2 linked regions of the Daphnia pulex genome follow. The protein of the gene in region 1 interacts with the protein of each later gene in a biochemical or structural test. Links are inferred from orthologs where the notes say so. Each region holds a gene or a part of one and is shown on either strand. Other genes may lie near its edges.

What was found. The genes of interacting proteins can lie anywhere in the genome.
Region 2: the proteins of neurogenic locus Notch protein-like (region 1) and recombining binding protein suppressor of hairless-like form a complex in vitro, tested with the Drosophila melanogaster proteins (4 studies listed by BioGRID). The link is inferred for Daphnia pulex from reciprocal best matches to the Drosophila melanogaster genes N and Su(H).

The regions. Positions count from the first base shown.
Region 1 is NC_060028.1:5,080,251-5,090,180, forward strand, and holds the start of neurogenic locus Notch protein-like, read right to left. Parts: upstream 4,867-9,930; 5' UTR 4,591-4,866; coding exon 4,518-4,590; intron 3,892-4,517; coding exon 3,813-3,891; intron 3,433-3,812; coding exon 2,962-3,432; intron 2,520-2,961; coding exon 2,386-2,519; intron 1,893-2,385; coding exon 1,545-1,892; intron 1,464-1,544; coding exon 1,116-1,463; intron 791-1,115; coding exon 158-790; intron 88-157; coding exon 1-87. UniProt on the Drosophila melanogaster protein: Essential signaling protein which has a major role in many developmental processes. Functions as a receptor for membrane-bound ligands Delta and Serrate to regulate cell-fate determination.
Region 2 is NC_060025.1:8,032,651-8,042,481, forward strand, and holds the start of recombining binding protein suppressor of hairless-like, read right to left. Parts: upstream 4,956-9,831; 5' UTR 3,516-4,955; coding exon 3,432-3,515; intron 1,847-3,431; exon of another isoform or gene 1,597-1,846; intron 1,192-1,596; exon of another isoform or gene 988-1,191; coding exon of another isoform or gene 967-987; intron 870-966; coding exon 567-869; intron 492-566; coding exon 161-491; intron 1-160. UniProt on the Drosophila melanogaster protein: Transcriptional regulator that plays a central role in Notch signaling, a signaling pathway involved in cell-cell communication that regulates a broad spectrum of cell-fate determinations.

The DNA.
Region 1 (9,930 bases):
ATTCGTTGACGTCACTCAAACAGCGGGCGTCGAAATAACCGCGAGGGCAGTCACATTTGAAGCCGTTGACCAAGTCCGTGCATTTACCTAGAAAAACCGAGCATTAAATACCAAATTTGATTTAAAAATAAATAAAGGAATAAATATAACCAGTTACCTCCATTTGAGCAGGGATTGCTGGCACATTCGTTAATGTTAGTCTCGCAATGTTGTCCGGTGAATCCTGGCACACAGTCGCAAGTGTATCGGTTGATTCCGTCGATACAAGTGGCTCCATTACGACAAGGATTACTGAAACATTCATTGACGTTGTACTCGCAATTACGGCCCGATGTTCCAGGCTGGCATCGGCATTGATAGCCACCAATAAGGTCTTCGCAATGGCCGCCGAATTGGCAAGGATTGGATTCGCATTCATTGATTTGCGTCTGGCACAAGAGTCCGTTGTAGCCTGGATGACATTGGCAGGTGAAGGAATTGACGCCGTCGACGCAATCTCCATGATGGCAGGGTGAGCTCTGGCAATCGTTGATGTTGACTTCGCAGTTGAGTCCGGTGAATCCCTGAGGACAGTTGCAAGTGTAGCCGGCCACCGAGTCTCTGCAAACGCCTCCGTTTTGGCATGGCGAGCTGACGCAATCGTCGATGTTGATGTGGCATTTCTTGCCGGAGAAACCGGGCGGACAGACACATTTGTAGCCATTAATCATGTCGGTACAGATGCCACCGTTGATGCAAGGGCTGGAAGCGCACTCGTCGATGTCAACTTCGCAATGGACACCCGTGTAGCCTACAGAAAATGAGAAAAAAGTGTCAATGATGCATCGGGGCCTTTTCCTCCTGCAGGCAGCTGTTGGATCTCTCTCTCTATCGACATCGGCACTCGTGATGGATTGCGTCGAGTGAAACTGGACCGGAGCGGGGTGGTTTATCTCAAATTACCAACTGCCACTTAAGGCCCAACTTGAGAATTTGAGACAAACACATGGTTTTTGAGAAGCTCATATGGTTTCCCACGCCAAGCTAACCTTCACTTTCCCAACGGAAGGGGGGAAAAAGTCTCACGAACTTTGACCTCTTATTGCCACACCCGGAAGAGATCAAGAATCACATACCTGGCATGCAGACACAGCGGAAGGCTCCACGTTCATCCAGACAAGTGCCGTCATTTTGGCAGGGGTTGGAATCGCATTCATTGATGTTGATCTCGCAGCGAGGGCCGGTGAAACCCCGCGTGCAATTGCAGCGGAATGAGCCGGGCGTGTTGACGCAGAGTCCGTCGTGCTCGCAAGGCGATCCGGCTTCGCATTCGTCGATATCTTCAGTGCAGTCGACTCCTTTGTAGCCGTTGGGGCAGGAACACATGTAGGTGCCGTCGATGGGACTAGTATCACAAATGGCTCCGGCGTGACAAGGGTTTGAAGCGCAGGCATCGTCCAAATGGCACAACAATCCGGTTTTGCCTTGAATTGAATAAACCATTTTGATGGAATTAATAAAGAAGAACCGGTTTTTAAGTTTAAGTTATTCTCTCTCGGCAGTACCTGGAGCGCATTGGCAAAAGAAACTGCCGACTCGATCGTGACAAGTGGCGCCATTGAAGCAAGCGGCACCGGCGCAATCATCGATATTCTCCGAGCAGTCGGATCCAGTCCAGCCGTTGACGCAAATGCAGGAGAATCCACCGTGGGTGTTGGTACAAGTAGCGCCGTTCTTGCAGACGCTAGGCCTCAAAGCACATTCATCGACGTCTTGATTACAATAAGGCCCCGTAAAGGATGGTGGACACTGGCATGTGTAGGAATTGACGCCATCGACGCAAGTGGCTCCATTCTGGCATAAATGACCGGGGCAGTCGTTGACATTTTCTTGGCAATTGGTACCAGCAAAGCCTAGAATTTTGATAATCAGAAGAAAGGGGGGAAATATTAGATTCGTGTTAAAGGGAAAATGGCAACGCTGTAAGTAGACAGGAAAGAATTCTTTGTTGGTCATCGCCCAGGTGTTCTTTTTTTTAGAGAAAGGTGGAGGGGTCGGAACATAAAAGAGCCTGGAGAGATTTGAGAGAGAGAGAGAGAGGGGCTCGGATATTTATATTCAAGTCTCTCTGGATGGACGAGGTTTGCCCCGAGGGTATAACAAGTTTTGGCTTTCTTGTGTGTGTGGGAATGTTCCCACCGATGGAAACCAAGCACATCCGAAATCTGATGACTTTAGATTTAAACTTCATTTTAACAGCCGACAATGACTTTATGGCTACTCTAACCAGATTCAATGTTGTTGTTGTTTCTTTTTGGTTGTTGGGACCAACAATTCGTTTCAGTTGTCATAAATTTACCGGAAAGAAGAGGAATAAAAGGTTCAATCAAATTTTATGAGACTTACCAGGCGGACAACGGCATTCGTAGTTGAGAGAATCGATGGCTTTGCACGCACCACCATTCTGGCATGGAGACGGACTGCATGGCACATACTGATTTTCGCAATTCTGGCCAGTATAACCCGTGTGGCAGTTACATCTGGAAAATAAAAAAAGTAAACGGATACAAACGGATGATTAGCGCCCGGCATGATACAAACATGAGACGAGACACACACAGACACGTGACGAGAAAGTACAAATAAATTCAATCTGGTGTCTACTGACCACGGCGATTTAATGGACTTGTTTTCGCCTCGGCCGTTCCCACGCTAACTCGACAATGAAAGCCTTGAAAAATTTAATTTCTTTTTTGTCCTCTTTTAATATTTTTGGAAGGAAACTACATTTTTAAAAAAATGTTGAATAGAAGATAATAATAAAGATGTGACGAAAAAATTTCCCCTCGGACTTTCTTTGGTCGGCGTCAACAACTTTGTTGAGTCAGCTTGGTAATCATTTGACAATCATGACGTCGAGATAAGGATGCCAAGAAAGATCAACAGATGGTTGACGACAAGAGTCAATACGACTGGACTCACTTGTATGATCCGTGGGTGTTGACACAGCGACCGTGGATGCACGGGTTGCGTTTACACTCGTCAATGTCCACAGCGCACGTCGGGCCAGCGAATCCAGGAGCGCAAGTGCAGCGGTGAGAGTCCGACAAAGACGTGCACTGGGCACCGTTTTTGCACGGATGCAGGGCGCAGTGGTCGACAGCTTCGCATTTGGCGCCGCGGAATCCCGACGAGCAGGCGCAGGTGTAGTTATCCAGCGTGCGGAGTAGACACGTTCCGCCGTGTTGGCACGGCCCAGTGTCGCAGGCGTTGGGCACGGGAATCTCGCACAGCGAGGCCGAGTAACCCAGCGGACACGAACAGGAGAAGCTGGGCACGGCATTAGTCGACATTTTGACGGCGCAAGTGCCGCCATTTTGGCACCGAGGTCCGGGTCCCGTATGGCAGGGGTTGGCAAATTGGCAGTACTCGCCCACGTATTGCGGCGGACAGCTGTAAAAAATAAAAATAAAAAGAGTTAATCATTTGTTTCACAAGTGATTGGAGCAACTGGACCATGTGTATCAAAGCATAATCCCCAAAAATAAAAAATCAACGTTCCCCCCCTTCTACTACCACCTCCACTACCAGACAAAGAAAAAGAGCTGGAGGCAGTACGTGAGCAGCTCGGGCCCAAACCGGATGGAACAAAAAAAAAAAGTGGACAAGGTGGTGGTGGTAGGGTGGCTGACGGTAGGTGGTTTCAATAGCCCAAACTATGCAGACCAGCTTGTTTCCCACGCTTCTGAGCGAGAGAGACTCTACCATTGGAGAGAGAGAGAGAGGGGGGGGGGGATAGATCTCCCCTGTAGACTTTCAACAATGGACGTTACCTGCAGTAAGACTCGCCGCGCGGGTTGGAGACGCACGACGCTCCATTCTTGCAGGGATTGGGCGAACACGAAACGAATCCTGGAATAAATAAAAAAAAAAGAAAAAAAATTACAGTTAATTATTATTATTGATTTGAGTGAATGATAATACACACACACAAAAAGAGCAACGGAAACGGGTCCACTATCATGCACTTCCGCCCTGATAGAGGATACGATTCAATGGACATACGACGCTATTGTCTAACATCATTAACTCATGACTATCAAATAACATGTGGCCTAACGCTATGTGACACCACCAAAATGTCTTGGCTGATGAAAATGTCTTGAAACTTAATCATCTCACGATGTCTTTATTCGCCGGATATGTTGGTCATCACCATATTCTTTTTTTAATTTTAAAAAATAAATAAAATGATTTGCTGAGATCTCGGCAACGTCGATCAACAGGTCGGAGAGGGGGGGGGGGGGGGGGAGAGAGAAGGACAATGAGAGCGTCGGTTGGAGGGGGGATTTAAATGCGTGGGAAATGTAAAGCCCTACGGGGCCCGGCGTCTTTTTTTGAAAAGAAGAGCAGATGCAACAAAACTCTAACCGTCATCCCAACTACTTTTTTCAGACTCCCCCCTACCTTTAATGAAACAATCGTCATGAGGTAATTTTAAGCCACACGAATATTCGAGACAAAAACGTCAAGGTTACCTTGAACTGAAGCTGAGAAGAAGACGAGAATGCCCAGCAACAGCATCAGTAATCCACTGCGGTCGGTCCCCATTTTTAATGGCAGCAACAAAAACAGGGACTCACACACACTTAACGTTTCTTTCTTTCTTCTCTCCCTCTTTGTGTTGAATAGATGAAAAATTAAATCACTCAAAACACCAACACTTTCAGCCACTGGGTCATGGTGATGCACTTTTTCTCTTGTTTTTACACACTTTTCCAGTAAAGAGATTTTTTGTTAAACTCAGATGCACACAGAGAAAAATGGAAGAAATTCAAGCAGCAGCGACACAGTACATCCTTCCCGTTCAACGGACGCTTCTCGACTGGCCGGAGGGAGTCGCTCTATCAGAATAACTGGCCTCGAGGCAAAACCACCGACAACCAATCAGAGTCCGACTTGTTCTCTTCCTTTCTCCTTGCAATCTCCGCGGGTTTTCTTGCTGCACACAGAGAAGAAAAATTATAATACACAAGAACAAAATTGAAATTGCGCCTATTCTTCTTCCAGTATTCTGTCACTCGGCCAAACGTGTCGCCTATAATAACGATTTTTCTCAACCACAGAGTTATTTGTATTTGTGGTATATTCTAGATGAAACTTTGATTGCGAGTCTAACAAGTTCATGACTTGGTTTCTTCTATTTCACAAACATGTAGAATAGAATTCCCCGAAGAAAGTAATTAAAGCCGAAAGAAGGGAGCTTCTCAAAGAATTTTGGGGCCGATCATAAAAGACCCAAGAGGAATACTAGGCCTAGAAATATATTTTTATATTGTCTGATTTCCGTAGGGATGAAATATCCCCCCATCCATCATACAGGGGAAAAAGTGACATCGTCCAAATCTTTCCAGCAACTTTCCCTTTTAGTGAAGCCGATTGGAAAAAGGACCTGTCGATTTGTTTTTGACTGGGATCGTGACGCCTTTAAGCTCCTCATCCAGTTGACATGTCCGTCCATTGTTTTTCTGCCATTCCGCGCATGGTATAATCAGCCGTAAAAGTGGGCTACATCACGAAAGCAGCTCGTTGTCGAGCCCACAAAAAAATAATGCAATTGAGAAAGAAACAGTCTGATGCACCATACGAAAAACGGAAAAAGAAGGTAGAAACTAGATGACCGGCAATCATCATCAAGCTCCAGGAATCCGAAGGCCGCATCATGTAGACCGTGATTGATCATTCAACTGGCGCCGCCGGAATCATCTTCTGCGTTCTACCCATTGCGTGATGCGCCTTTCATCATATTTATATTCATTTCTTCTTCTGCCTATGGCTCTGCATCATTCATATTTTTATTTGTGTCATATACGCCTCGAACCGAAATTTCCTTTTTTTTTCCCCATTTTACATTCGATCCGCGCTGATTGGTTCTCATCATCTACCGTGCAGTTAGACACGAAAATCATCAGGTCTTTCCCGTTGGGATAAAAGGGTTAACGAGATACCCAAACTTAGAACTAAACCAACTTGTTCCTGCATTGACTTGTTCGTATTCCTCGAGCGTAAAACCCAAACAATCAACTCAATGCTCTATCGATGGTCACGTGACCAAACCCCCTTCACCACAAGTGGTGGTGGGGTAGTTGCGACAGATTGGCAGCAACTGTTGCACATGTAAACCACTCAAACGGATCACAAAAAGTAGGGGGGAATTGAATCAAACGATCAAATGGAGAGGGGTGAAATGGTTATCCGTGGGAACGGAATAAAAAAAAAAAACTCGTTTCTAGGCCTCTAAAAAAGAAAAGGAAAATTCGCTTCGTGATAAATCGATCCAACCTATTTCTCCAGTCGTGTGGAGCGCAACCGTTGACCCCGTGTCTAGATCTGTCAAAAATGATAATCGGGACAATGAAATCATTTGTCGTTCGTGAGTAGATGCAAACACCGGACAGAGCCAATGCGTCGACGTCGTCGTCGTATAGGTTTTGAAAACTTGTTATCAACAAGTTTTAGATATTAATTTTTTTTTTTTCTTTTTTTCTAAATCACGGTGATTATCAGTGGTCATTGGCAAGTGCACCTGGCTTTCCAGATAATACCACGACAATGGCAAGCGTGGGAATGTTCCGGCCGTTAGTTTTTGAGTTAAAAAATGAAAAAAAAAAAAAAATCTTATTTTGCGGTCAAAAAAACGCAACCCGACCCAACACGGAGGTATCCCGCCCTCGGTAGTACCACAGATATCAACCTTGAAACACACTCTTTTTTCGTCTTTTTTAATTATTATGAACTTGATGAATCCCAAAGTGGTGGTGAACAAAGATGGCGCCAAAGCCCCAGGGGCAGGTGGTTTCGAATATGAATTTTTTTACTGCTTTTTTTCTTCTTCTTCTTCTTCTTCCCTTTTGTTTATTGCTTCAGAAGAGAGAGGGGAGAAAGAAACGAGTACAGATGTTTCCATCCAGTGGCGCCAGAGTTGGTGTGGCGGAGAAGAGGTCAACGTCGAGGTCAGCCCATGGGGAGGAATGCCATAGCCAGAGGCTTGGTTGTTTTTTCGTAGGGGAGATGTTGTTGGACGGACACAACACGAAAGATAAGAGAAGAAAAGCCTCGAAGGTTGTTTGCCTTAAAACCCGCATCATCTTTGTTGGTGTTGCAGCCGCACTGATCTTGGCAGAGGCCGATGGTGTTCAAGTGCGTGGTCTGTTTTTCCTTGTCAAAATGGATCGAAAAATCGTCGTCAAATCTTTTCTAAAATATCAATGTCCCGGTGTCCCCCCTTCCTACTACCACCAGACAAAGAAAAAGAGCTGGAGGCAGTAGAGTTCTATAGTATAGATTTGTATAGTTGTCTGGTTGTGCTCAAAATTCACCAAACTGCTAATAAGACATTTCAATGTTGATTTGTCGAAACCACATATTAGCTTATCCAATATTTTTTAAGAACCTGCATAGAATAGATATTATATTAGATCACAAATAAATAAGTCATAACTTGGTCATAACTCTGTTTTTCAGAACTAAACAAGGAGAAGAAGCAAGGGCATTTAAAGCATTAGATTATTTCGAATTTGAATTTAATCGAATCAAACGTCTCGTCCATTGAAAATGCAATTTCTGTTGCAGAAAGTAATTCTACACTAGAATGTATTACTTTGAGACCGGCTTAAACAAGGAAGATCTTCTTAGGAATATGATACGACATATAGGATGTAGCCTAATGAGGGTTGAGATTTACAAATGACTATAGCCAGACGAATTCGATTCCTGAAAAATCTTTCACAATCCTCATTTATATTCGAGATGTGATTGATGAGTTCGTCGAAAGCTCAACTGAATACTTCATGGAACTCATGACATTGTGTAATATGATTTTAATTATTGACATGTTGCGTAGAAAACCAATAGCGATGTGCTTCTCTAATATGCTTTATGTTAAGGGTTTAGGTAGCCAAACTCGATCCAACAAATTCAGCAGTGAATCTACAGTTTCAAATAATAGGTCCATTTATTTTCTTTAGCATTCGTGCGCATTCGTGTGAACTTCTTTAGCAACGTGCGAACTTGCTGATCTCAGCTGTTTATATCTATGCGTTTTTTTTTCTTGCTTTCGTTTTACTGATTCGTTTTCTTATTATCTTATTTTCCTACAACATAATGAAATAAAAAATACTATAGGTAAAATTCCTATCAGACTAGGCGTCTTCTAACACAATTTTTAAATTTTAGTTTCATCAATCTAGGAACTTCGAAGAGCAACCAGAGTTTGTCAGTCGCAAAGTCTAGATGACCATATTTTTGGATTTAACTATTTTACTCAGCAAATGTAACTTTGTTACATTGTTAAACCGGTTTTAACACACCATCGGGGGAAATGCGACTTTTGGCAAATAACGCAAGTGTGCTAAGATTCCTATTTGAATTTGAAAGTTTAATGGTCTTTGTTGGAGAAATACAATTCTACATCGTGAATTAACACAAGGTTATTTATTGCGTCAAAAATGTTGAAACTGGTTGAAACTTGAAACTTGCCGGTCTCGGGCTCTTATGCAGCCCCCTATCGGTCGTGGTCTGTACTGCATATTTGCTTTGTTGCAAACCCTGGTAATTCGAAGAATGAATTAGTGACTAACGAGTAACGAGACGAGGAAAATTCAAGCAAACGAAACTATTAATTATTTATTGTAGTAATATTGCAACTATTGGCAGTCGTGTCAATATTTAGTCAGTTTTATGGAAAATGATGAAGTTTCAAGGATTTAATCTATATCTGTTTTGATTGATATAATACTGATTGGAACTTAAATAAATAAATGAAGAAAGAAATTTATGTTCTTATTGATGGTCAGTCAGTCATAAAATATGTGTGCGCATACCCACGCATGTTAAGTTTCGTTTAGACATGCAGGCTATCTATTTTATGCATTTTTGGCATCTAAGATTATCGAGTACTGACGTAATGACATATATTCAAATAAGAGCAATTGAGAATTCAGAATAGGCAATGCGACGAGTGAAAAGTTGAAAAAAAACTTAAACGTCATATTTCTACCATTATTGAACGTCGAAAACGTATTAAGCTACATTCTTTTAAATGGTGCCGCCAATAGTGACGTAAGAATAAAATATTCGTTGTTTTCCGTATGGAACATAAAACTTGGTCAAAGTTTACGCCACGAATATTTACTGAGACGGTTTTCATCCTAACAGAGATTTTCGTTCTCACCGTTCACTGAAGCGATGACAATGAAACTGAAGTGAATTTCTTATCACTCTATTGTATGATTCATGGGGTCGCATCTTTGAAAGCATTATGATGTAGCCACTTAGTAACTAATGGTGAGAATACCCCCCAAAACAATAGTTGCCTCAATAAGGTAGAGGAGCTACTTATTCGTGCGTATTCATGGTTCACTTTTTTTCTGGATTAATAACCTGGTTGCTTTGTTACAGTCGCCTATACAAGTCCTTGTCAAAACAAAACATGATAAACAGGACAGATTTCTCTTCATATCGTGAACACGAAAATCGTAGTAGTTGTGACATTTATGATTTCCACTTCAGAGAAGAACGTGAACCGCACTCACATTAGGTTTGTAACTAGCCTACTCTTATCTTTCCGCTGACCTCTATCATGTTTCAACGCATCTTGACGATCATATTTTATGGGATTTTTTTCCCGTTAATAATTTCATTTCTAATAAATGCTTTTGAAGCCAGTCCTATTATTAAAAGTAAAAAAAAAATGAGCAATGCGCCAAAACAACTGAATTTCTGGATCGCTGAAATTCTTCCACAGGGGGTACAGAATAATATAAATAATATAACTTCTAAACTACAGCCCCCTGTTTAATCAACAATAAAGCATTAAGAAAATATAAATATCAATGTCATAGCTCATAGGACTTTTAAGAGGGAGGGGTCGAAAGATGTGTTTGAATGAAC
Region 2 (9,831 bases), on another chromosome or scaffold:
GATATCCAACACATGGTGACCATCTTTTTATTCCGGGGGGAGAAAGAAAGAGAAGGGAGGGTCCGTGACCGATAGACTCTCCCCCTCATCCACCACTCCGCATTATGATGACGACAATATGCTTTGAAATTATTTATTCGTTTTGACTTTTAATATTTACCGGAATCGGGGATGCCCAGCGAGAGGCTGAGCCCGTTGGGTTTGTAGGTGTCGTTGCCTCCGCGCTGACGTTGACTGGACGAGGTTGCGGGGCTGTTGTAGTCGGCGGCCGAGAGACCGTAGAAGGCGGCCGAAGTGGCGGCTGAAACGGCCGGATTGGGAGGTCGTTGCTGAGAATTCGACAAATCGACCGGGTGCTGCTCGGTAGGCGTGAACGGTTGTTGTTGTTGTTGTTGCTGCTGTTGTTGTTGTTGAGGCTGGTTGAGGTTGTAAGAAGACGGCGGATGAGTAGCTGTCAGCAATTCCGTCATCACCTGCCCTCCACCCACAGACTGTTTGAAGGAAAATAAAATGAAAAGTTGCAAACGGAATGGAATTTGAAAAGTTTAAAGTTGATTGGATGTTACCTGTCCGTAATAAGCGGCATGTTGTTGTTGCTGGTGATGATGCTGGTGGTGATGTTGTTGTTGCTGCTGCTGCTGCTGATGGTGGTGGTGATTGTGGGGCGAATAAGGATCGTGCGAATTGGACCAAACGTCCACCTCGCCGCCGCTTCCGTGTCCCACGCCGACGACTGTCGAACCGGATGAGCCGACCGTTCCGGCCACCGATGTCACGGCCACACTGTTGTTGACTCCGCCGATCAAATCCACAGACTCGCGGCTGTGCTGGGCCTCGTAACCGCCACTTAAACTGAACCCGTAATGGGCCTGTCGGAAAAATTCAATCAAAATATTAAAACAAAGTTTCGTTTTTAAATTTCCACGCCAATAACCAAATAAACCAAAAACGCTCGACTCGACTCACCAACGGCTTAGCTAGAGGCATAATTCAAATCTAATCAATAAGAAACTATCCAAAAAATCTTATCTGATCCAAAAACAATCAATCAATCGAGAAAATGGCGACACATTGTCCCAATGAAAATAACGAAACGGCCGATTGAATTCGAAACAAAAATGAAATTGTTTTTTTCCAGAGTTGAAAGGGAGACCGGCTTGATGCTCGGCCCGAGTCCTACTGTCCCGCTGGGCTGCGTTACAGTGTCGGTTGTTATTTCACACTTGACCCGACGACGACGAATACGACGACGACGTGAAGAGAAAAAAGAAAAAAATAATTTCATCCCCTCCCCGAGAGACGTTTTGGCCTGGCACGGCATTTTGGACGTGCGCGTTGAGAGCCACTCGGTGGCTAAAGCGACGACGACGTCGTCGACAGGTGCGCCGATTCCCACACGCTTTTCACTCTCTCTCTCTCCACCCCCCACCCCGTCACCCACTTCGCTATGTATACACATTGAATGACGTCGAGGATAACAGAGCCGACCGAAAAAGAAATAGACTCTGGGAGAGAATAATATCCATAAATCTCCACGTGCACTAGATTTTAAAGAAACATTTTTTTCAAAAATCAGATGACGTAAGTTTTTGTTACCGATCGATGATGAATAATCCTTGGCGTATAGAAACAAATTCACTGGACAACATTGTGCAGGGAGGGAAATTCAAACTTGAAAAAAAATATTTTCCAACTCAAAAGTTGGTCGAGTGCAGAGTGCGTTTGAAAAAGTGACCGTTTCCCACAGTCTCCGGCAGGCAAATGAAGTTGGTGGGTTGTTCTTCTCTATGTATCCTAGCTCCTCTCTACTCTCTATACGGTTTCTCTCGAGGCATCTTTTTTTGAATAAGAGAGAAGGGATCGGATGACCTTTTTCTTTTAAAATAAGGGGCTCTCCCCTCTTCTTTCTATTTTTTAAAAGAACAAATTGTTTGAACCAGTGCACACACACAAGGGTATATAGTACGAAATACACACACATTTTTTGTTGTTTTTCCCCTCTTGTGTTGAACAAGAAGTAAAAAAGAAAAAAAAAGTTTTTTGAAAGAGATGGCCGCCGGCGGTTCCCACACAAACACACTAGACACTTTAGAAGGCTCTCGTTAACTCTTTCCGTCTCTGTGTGTGTGTGTGTTATCTCCAATTTGTTAGATTCTTGTCAAGAAATCAACCCGAAATCAAAAAGTTAAACAAAAGCAACTCAACTTTTTAAATGTTAAGTCCGTCCAGACAGACAGACGGACAGACACTTGTAGTCACCCAAATGAAAATTGATTTGGCGAAGCATTTGAAAAATGAGAGATCTTTTGTAATTTAGATGTTGAGCAGCCAAAAGTAAACCGATCTGGGAATCGGTAATACGAATCGCCATCACTTTTCTAAGAGAGGAGAAACTACCAAGTTGTTCAGTGCTGGGCTGTGCAGTTGCTGGGCGAGGCCCGATGGAATGTCAATTGAAAAAGTTTCTTGTGTGTGAACCCCCACAAAAATGAGTGGGGGGAAAGGGGGGGGGGGAGAATGTATAGGAGAGTTGTGATCAAAACCTCGACCCATGTACCCATGCACCCACCAAACCCGCCCCGGTTCGTGGGAAAGAATTTGGCCGTCTGGGAAAATGAAAAACACAGTCCCGCTGGTGGTGGTGGTGGCTACTATATAGACATAGTAGTAGTGTAGTAGTAGTACGGTAGTCACTACACACACAGAGACTAACCTTTTGTATGTATAAATGACCTCCTCCGCAAACCCCGGCGGGCACATCCTTCCGCCCTGCTTATTTTTTTCTCTTTCAAAACCCACACACTAAAGCTCATGTACTAACTGTTACCTCTCTATACTGGCTTTTAATATCAGAGGAAGGGGGGGGGGAGCAAATACATAATCAACAACAACAGAAGAAAAGTTTTTTTTTTTCCCACACACTCACGTGTGTAAACAAAATTCGAGCGGAGCGCGCCAAATTCAAAATTTTCAAATTGTTCGAAATTTGATCATTTTTTTTTATCCGATCGAAATTCAAGGAGAATTGAATTCGGATCCAATAAAAAGATGCCGGGAAGAAAAGGAAAAAAATAAATAAAAAATAAACGGGCTACCGGACAGGAAATAATCGTGGACGACAGCCAAAGTCGTAAAAATCGGGAATTGCCTATAACTGAAAATCGTGATGTTGACACAAGTCGGCTTCTCTTTTTCACACGATATCACCGGTTACGCATGTCTGTGTGTGTGTGTGTGTCATTGAGTCTGAGACACATTCCTTATCGCCGACATAATCATCATCGTCGTAAGATTCTTATCATCGACCCAGTAAAAATAAAATCAAAAGAATTTCAAACGTTTGAAAATTGCCGCCAATATCAACACGAGTCGGCAAACACAAAACTTGGAAAACTTCAAATTTTCTTCCTTATTATTATTTTTTTAAATACCCAAGTATCGGCGAGCGGACTACGTGCGCTGGGTGTGTAGGGCTCCGAGTCGAGGTCCATTGAGCTGGGCGCAACGTCGGGCATTTTGTCCAAATTTCTTTTATTAAAACTTCGTTCCAATATTTCACTGCGAAAAATGTTGACGATTGTCAATGGCTAAAAAGCGTCACATGTGTCCAAAACCAAATTCACTGGATAAACCGAAAAACACTAGGCGACGAGATAAACCAAATTCCGTTGAGATCGACGGATGTTACGAGACAAGGACGGCCACTGGGCGCGTGCTGATTCCAGTCCAACCGTCGTGCAACTAAACTGAACATTTTCTACCCAACGACGACGACGGCGGCGGCGGCTGCCCCCTTTTCACCTAGGGTGGAGTGTATAGGGGGAGGAGGGTAGGTCCCGAGCACACAGACACACTATGTGTGCAGCTGTACCTCCTCCTCCTCCTACTACCCCCAGCAAAACGGACACACAAGAGGAAGGAGGGGGGAGTTGAAAGCGTCATCGGGTGGGGGAGGTCTGTCTTTTGTTGTACAACTTTTTAAATAGACTCCAATAGATTTACACAGCAATCTGCTCCACGTAATAATCCCTTTGATCCAAAAAGTCCCCCAACTGATTTTTTCCTATTTCAATTCAATTCCAATTTGATCGAACTGAATTATTCAAATTAATAAATACGGGTGGTAAATGAATATGCACACACCATGGGGGATCTGTGGGGGAATCCGATGAATCAAACGTCTAATTATTTTATCGGGGGGGGAAGGAATTTGGGCCTACATCCCAATTGAAAAATAAAAATTTCAAGAGATGCGCTGAAATTCCCATTAATTTGTCGTCGGGTTCAAACACATCAAGGGCGTGTCATTTGGTGTAGTGTAGAGCAGGGGGGTTCATCCGCATAAAACTGAATAATGACCCCCTCACTCCCTTTAAAAAAAAAGACAGACATGGAGATGCCGGAGCTAAAGGGGAAGTTGTAACGCGAGCATAACGTGGGAAAAAACCAAAAATTTAGTCGACGTTCTTTTTCGAGTCTTACTTCGTTCGGCAACAAGTGGCGTAGCCAAAAAGGAAGAAACAACAAAGATATCCCCCCACCATACCATTTGAAATGACGTCACACACGTGTTTGTGCGGTAACACGCGGGACGATGGATTGAAGGAGAAGAAGCTCCTTCCGCAAAAGGTAAAAATAGAAGAAAGAAAAAAACCAACTGATGGGAACACAACAACAAGGAGAGTCGAAATAAATATCAAATAAAAAGAAAGACATAATAAAAAAAGAAAAAGAAAAAGTTTTTCCCGCCGACGCAAATGTGTGAGAACGACGTCGGAGTCGAGCATCCACGGAAAGGAGACACACACACACACAAAGTGGGGTTGGTGTTGAAAACCCGCTTCCTCCTCCTCCTCCCCTCCACCTTCCTTATTTTTAACCAAAAAACTAAGCTCCTCCCACCGTTCTAACATTTCTCGGGCCATTTGACCAGTTCGAAATTTAAAAAAAATTTTGAACGAAAAAATTTGACAAGAAAAGTAGACAAAACAAAAATTCAAATTTTGGACGATGATGAAGGAAAATAAATTTCCCATTGCGACTCGTCGATCACGTCACGATGCGCTGGCAATCGGGCGGCAGGTACGTAAGGGGCCGTGAGAAAAAAATGGCAACAAGTGGAACGGTGAGCAGCTCCACAAGAGCACCTCGTCAAGAGGTCAGAGGCGGTGTACAGAGGTGGCTGCTCCTAATGCTCCTAACGTATATAAGAGGTGGGGGCTTGTTGGGGTCGCCGACGAGGTCAGTGTCACCTGTTTCTTCTTCTACACGTATTGCTCGGCGTAGTAACTCACAACATCATTCTCTTCTCCAATGATAAGGGAAGCTCTTCTTCTTCTTCTTCTTCTTTTTGCTCCTAATTTCCGTGAACGTGGGAGCCGAAACGTTTCCTCCCGGGAGACTTTGATTCGCTCGTTATTGTGTCGTTTCTTTTGACTTTTTCTTCTTCTTCTTCTTTTATTTTTGTTTCAAAAAGTTTCAAATTGACTTTTCACCGTTGCTTCTAGTTGGATAAGATAAACACACGGCGCTTTGATTTGATGTTCACCGACAAAGGAACTCGCGACGATCTATTTTGGACGAACGTCATTTTGTGGATTTTTTAAAGACCCCCAGCCACTTGACTTTCATTTCTAGTTTGAGTAGCTCCTATAAATCAAAACTGCAATATGTTTTTTGTTTTATTCTCTGCAATGTCATTTTCATTGATTGGACCCACCGAAAAAATAAAGAATAGAGAACAACAACAAAAAAGGGTGTAACAGCCCCGTGTAGAAAGCGTGGGAAGAAGGCGAAGGCGCAGAGAGAAAACGTTTTTTCGGTACACATTTCATCATTGGAACTAACACAACACAACCAACCAAATTTGTTGTTTGTTTGTTCTTTTTTAAATAAGAAAAAAAAAAGTGAGACTCTCTCTTTCGATATCCCAACAGAAACCCCCAAATAAACTTAAATATAGATCTCTCTCTCTATCTCTGCTGTCTACTCCCTCGCAAAGTCACTGGCATTTTCCACAAAATTGGTTTTGGTTCACATCTACGTAGGTATCGTGGGAAACTGGGAAAACAACCCAAAATTCTATCGTCATGTTGGACGATTTTCTCTTATCGACGGATGGTAGAGAGCGACGCTATTCGCAGACAGACAAGGGGTGGAGAGTCTATAGATCCAAAGGAGGGGTTACGTATGTACATACAATAGTTCACGATTAGACCGTGCTGCTGGAATTTTAGGGGGGGTTGAAAATTCACCATTCCCCCCAGAAAACCATAAGTTTTATTTTTACTTTTTTTTATTATTATTAAAGGGCGTCGGCGTCGGATTCCCACGCGAATAACGTCCTATATTGTAGTCGGTGTACCTTTTCCCCCTTTGAAAAACAAAAATGGGCAAGTCCCAAACAAAAAAGCAAATTTCTATTCTACGCGCACAGGATTTCCAAATAAGCCCCCAAAAAATTAAGATAATTGATAGAGAGTTTGGGAAAAATACAAGTGGCTAATATCACACTGTGTATACTGCACTACCAATCTCAACACAAAAGCGAAAAAGTGGTGACTGGGCTTTCCCTCGAACCTACAATCAACAGGTTGGCCAACCCCGTGCGCAGCCAAGGTCTAAAATGGCCGATCTTTTTGTATCTATTTCCAAAAAACTTTCAAAAAAAAAATAAACCAAACACGTACACATAAGCTATTTTTCTCGAAATAGCAGCTTTGAAATCTGTCATTACGCCGAATGGGTAGGGAGGATAATGTCAATGTATCCATCGCGATACAACAGCGTGAGAAGAGTCAACGTCGTGAATGTGTGAGGCTTGGAACAAAAGTGGCAACAAACTCCGACAGGATCGTGATCGTAAAAAGAAAGAATCAATCCACTTTTTTATTTCAATCTATGACGCTTAACCTATAACGCCGAGTTCTTTTATTCTGAGCTGTGTTGGTCGACTCACGAAAGGAAAATAAAAAAATCGGGAAGAAATAACTTCTTCTTCTTCTTTCCTTTGATTTTTTTTCTTCTAAAACTCTTCGGATGGTTCACACACTGGTCACGGTCCGGTGACTTTTGAGTGTCCTACGCTCGGCCGACCGACCGACCACAAATCGACTCTCGACTCCAATTATTAAAAGGATGTTCGTCTTCTTCTTTTCAAGTCTCAAATTTCATTCAAAAGGAACAAGAAAGCGACTAACCGCCAGTCCATTCACAGAAACGAAACCCCAAAAAAGAGAATAACACCCTCATCCCGTTTGGAATTTTACCTGAGTGTCGAGATAGGCGTCGTTCATTTCTCCCTGCGAGTTGGAAAAAAAGTCAAGTTTCAAATTTCGCTTGCGAGTTTTCTCGGGGTGTTGGATGATGATGATGACGGTCGGAAGTGGACGCAGGAAAGTTCTCTCAAGTTGCAATGCGGATGAAGATGTTGTCAACACTTGGCCTTAGCCTCGGTGGCATATGGAGACATCACACAAAACGATTGCGCAAGTCAAACCAAAAATAAACCGAAAACACTCGGATGGATGGCAAAGTCCCCGGGAGTTGGAAGAAGATGAACAAACGAACGATTTTTTCGGAGGAACGACGGAAAAGAAGAACCTTCAATGGCGGATGGGCCGATTGTATTGTCTGTCGAGTCGATTCATTCCGCCGGATAATAGGAGAGAGAGAGACTCGCGGGAGAAGGGGGGGGGAATCGATCGAGCGCGCATGCAAAGGGGGAAGAGGCGGGAACTCGTGAACAAAAAAATTCGTGAGCGTGTGGATGATGAGAGCGACGCCGTGGCGTCGGCGGGAGTCGAGAGTGGGGGGTGGGGGAGGCGTGATGGTTGGGTTGACAACAGCCAATGGGCGTCGGGACGTTTCCCATTGGCTCTGAGCGCCTAATCACGCTATACCTGAGCTTCTACCTGCGGGACTAAGCGGTCGGTGGGAAACCAGCACCTCCCACTGGACCTACACCCAGCCGAGCCGAAAGCCCCAAACGAAGAAAATCACGTCGCAATAATTATTGAGCGGGCCAGCTCTCTTCCTCTCAAGGCCTCTGCCCCCCTCGCTCATCTTTGTATGAACATTCGTCAAGGTCCATCGGACCTGCAGCCCCAACACCTTCCGGGACTTATATAATTATTTTTAATTATTTGAAAAAAATCATTCGACTTTTGGTTTGAATCAAAAATTATTAGCCAAATCAAATTGCGATTGAATTAAAGGATCGAAAAAGTAAATTGTCAATGCGGAAATGTTTACACACGATCATATTTGAATAAATAAGACGAAGCGCCAACATTTTGCTGTGACAACAATTGCTCTTACGGGTTCTCTCTCTTTTTCCAAACTGCACATAGAGAGGTGTACACTAGTATATGTATGTAAGTAGCCTATAAAAAAGAAAGGCAAAAAGGATTCGCACGGACATGCACGGTGAATTCGAGGACAAATAGTACATGCCGACGTCTATACATAGACAAGGACATGTGGACTGGTCATTTGCGTTCGTTTCAGAGATGCAACGAAGGCCGAATTCCTGATTTCAAAAACAAATGAAGAATGATTGCCATTCACGTTATAGGCTAGTAGAGCCGCCCGCTTCCTTCCTTCCAATTTAAAAATTTAAAAAATGGCGCGACAGAAATTTGGCTATTCATCAAAAAATGATGTTCAAACAAATTGCAGATGAAATGAGTCGCAATTATTTTTTATTTGATTAGAAAAAAAAAGGAAATTGGGGAATGATTTAAAAAAAAAAAGATGACCAATGAGAAATCATATCGTGCTCTCAAGTCATCACGCTGTTATGACTAGTAGCCACACACGAACGCAATCTACTTTCGAAAAAGAATCGCTTCTTGTTTTTTGTTTTTGTCGGTTACCGAAATGTAAAAATATAATAAATAAATAAACAAGGTTGCGTAATAAAAAGGCAACGACCCTCACAAAGGCTGTGCGTTGGGTTCGGTGTGAACAAAAAATTGCGCTCTGTAAAGGCATTCAAAATGGGCGGGTGTTTCAAATGCAGTCTATCGAGGCATTCAAATCACCGGTGAAATTGATTTCAAAAATTAAAACGAAATTAATTGAAATGAATCCAAGTGTCGCCAAGTATTTCTCTACGGTCTCAATCCAAACCCGAGTCTAAACAAAATAAAATTTACAAAAAAAAAGAAATTGGGATGAAGAACAAGTGGAAAGAAGAAAATACGGGAGCAATTGTGTGTGTGTGTGTGTGGCATTGGAAAGGTGGGCCCTGTGTGTGCGCGACGTTCCGTCGTGTGGGAACGTCGGCATGATGAGCCTCTCACACACACAAACTCGGCAAACTTCCGGTCTATTCCATCCATCCTCTTATCCCATCGCACACACGTAACACACACACGTATACAAGCTAGGGCCGTTTTCTTTCGTTCGTTCACTACTGTTAAACTTGCGAGACCTTTTTTCTTCTTCTTCTTCTTCTTTCGTTTCGTGTTTTTTCTTTTTTACTTTTTTAAGGAAATAATTACAAGCCAATCCGCACGGAAGGGGGAAACATTGTTGCCGTTTTTCTTTTGATTCTTTTTCTTTGATTCGAATATTTTTTTTTCGGCATATTGCAACCGATTGACCGCAATGACATAGACTCGGATCGATGTTTTCTTAATCACCCTTACGACTTTCTCACGATGGTGCTGGCCTCCCTCTCTCCTTCCGTACTCGAATCAAAAAATAGTCTCCACGCAACGTTATACAGGACCAGAGAGAACCAGGAGAGCTGGCGGTAGTCGGCAGCAGCGAGCGAGCGAGCGTCATCTGCATGCGCCCGGTAGTAAATATAGGAAGAGGCGCACA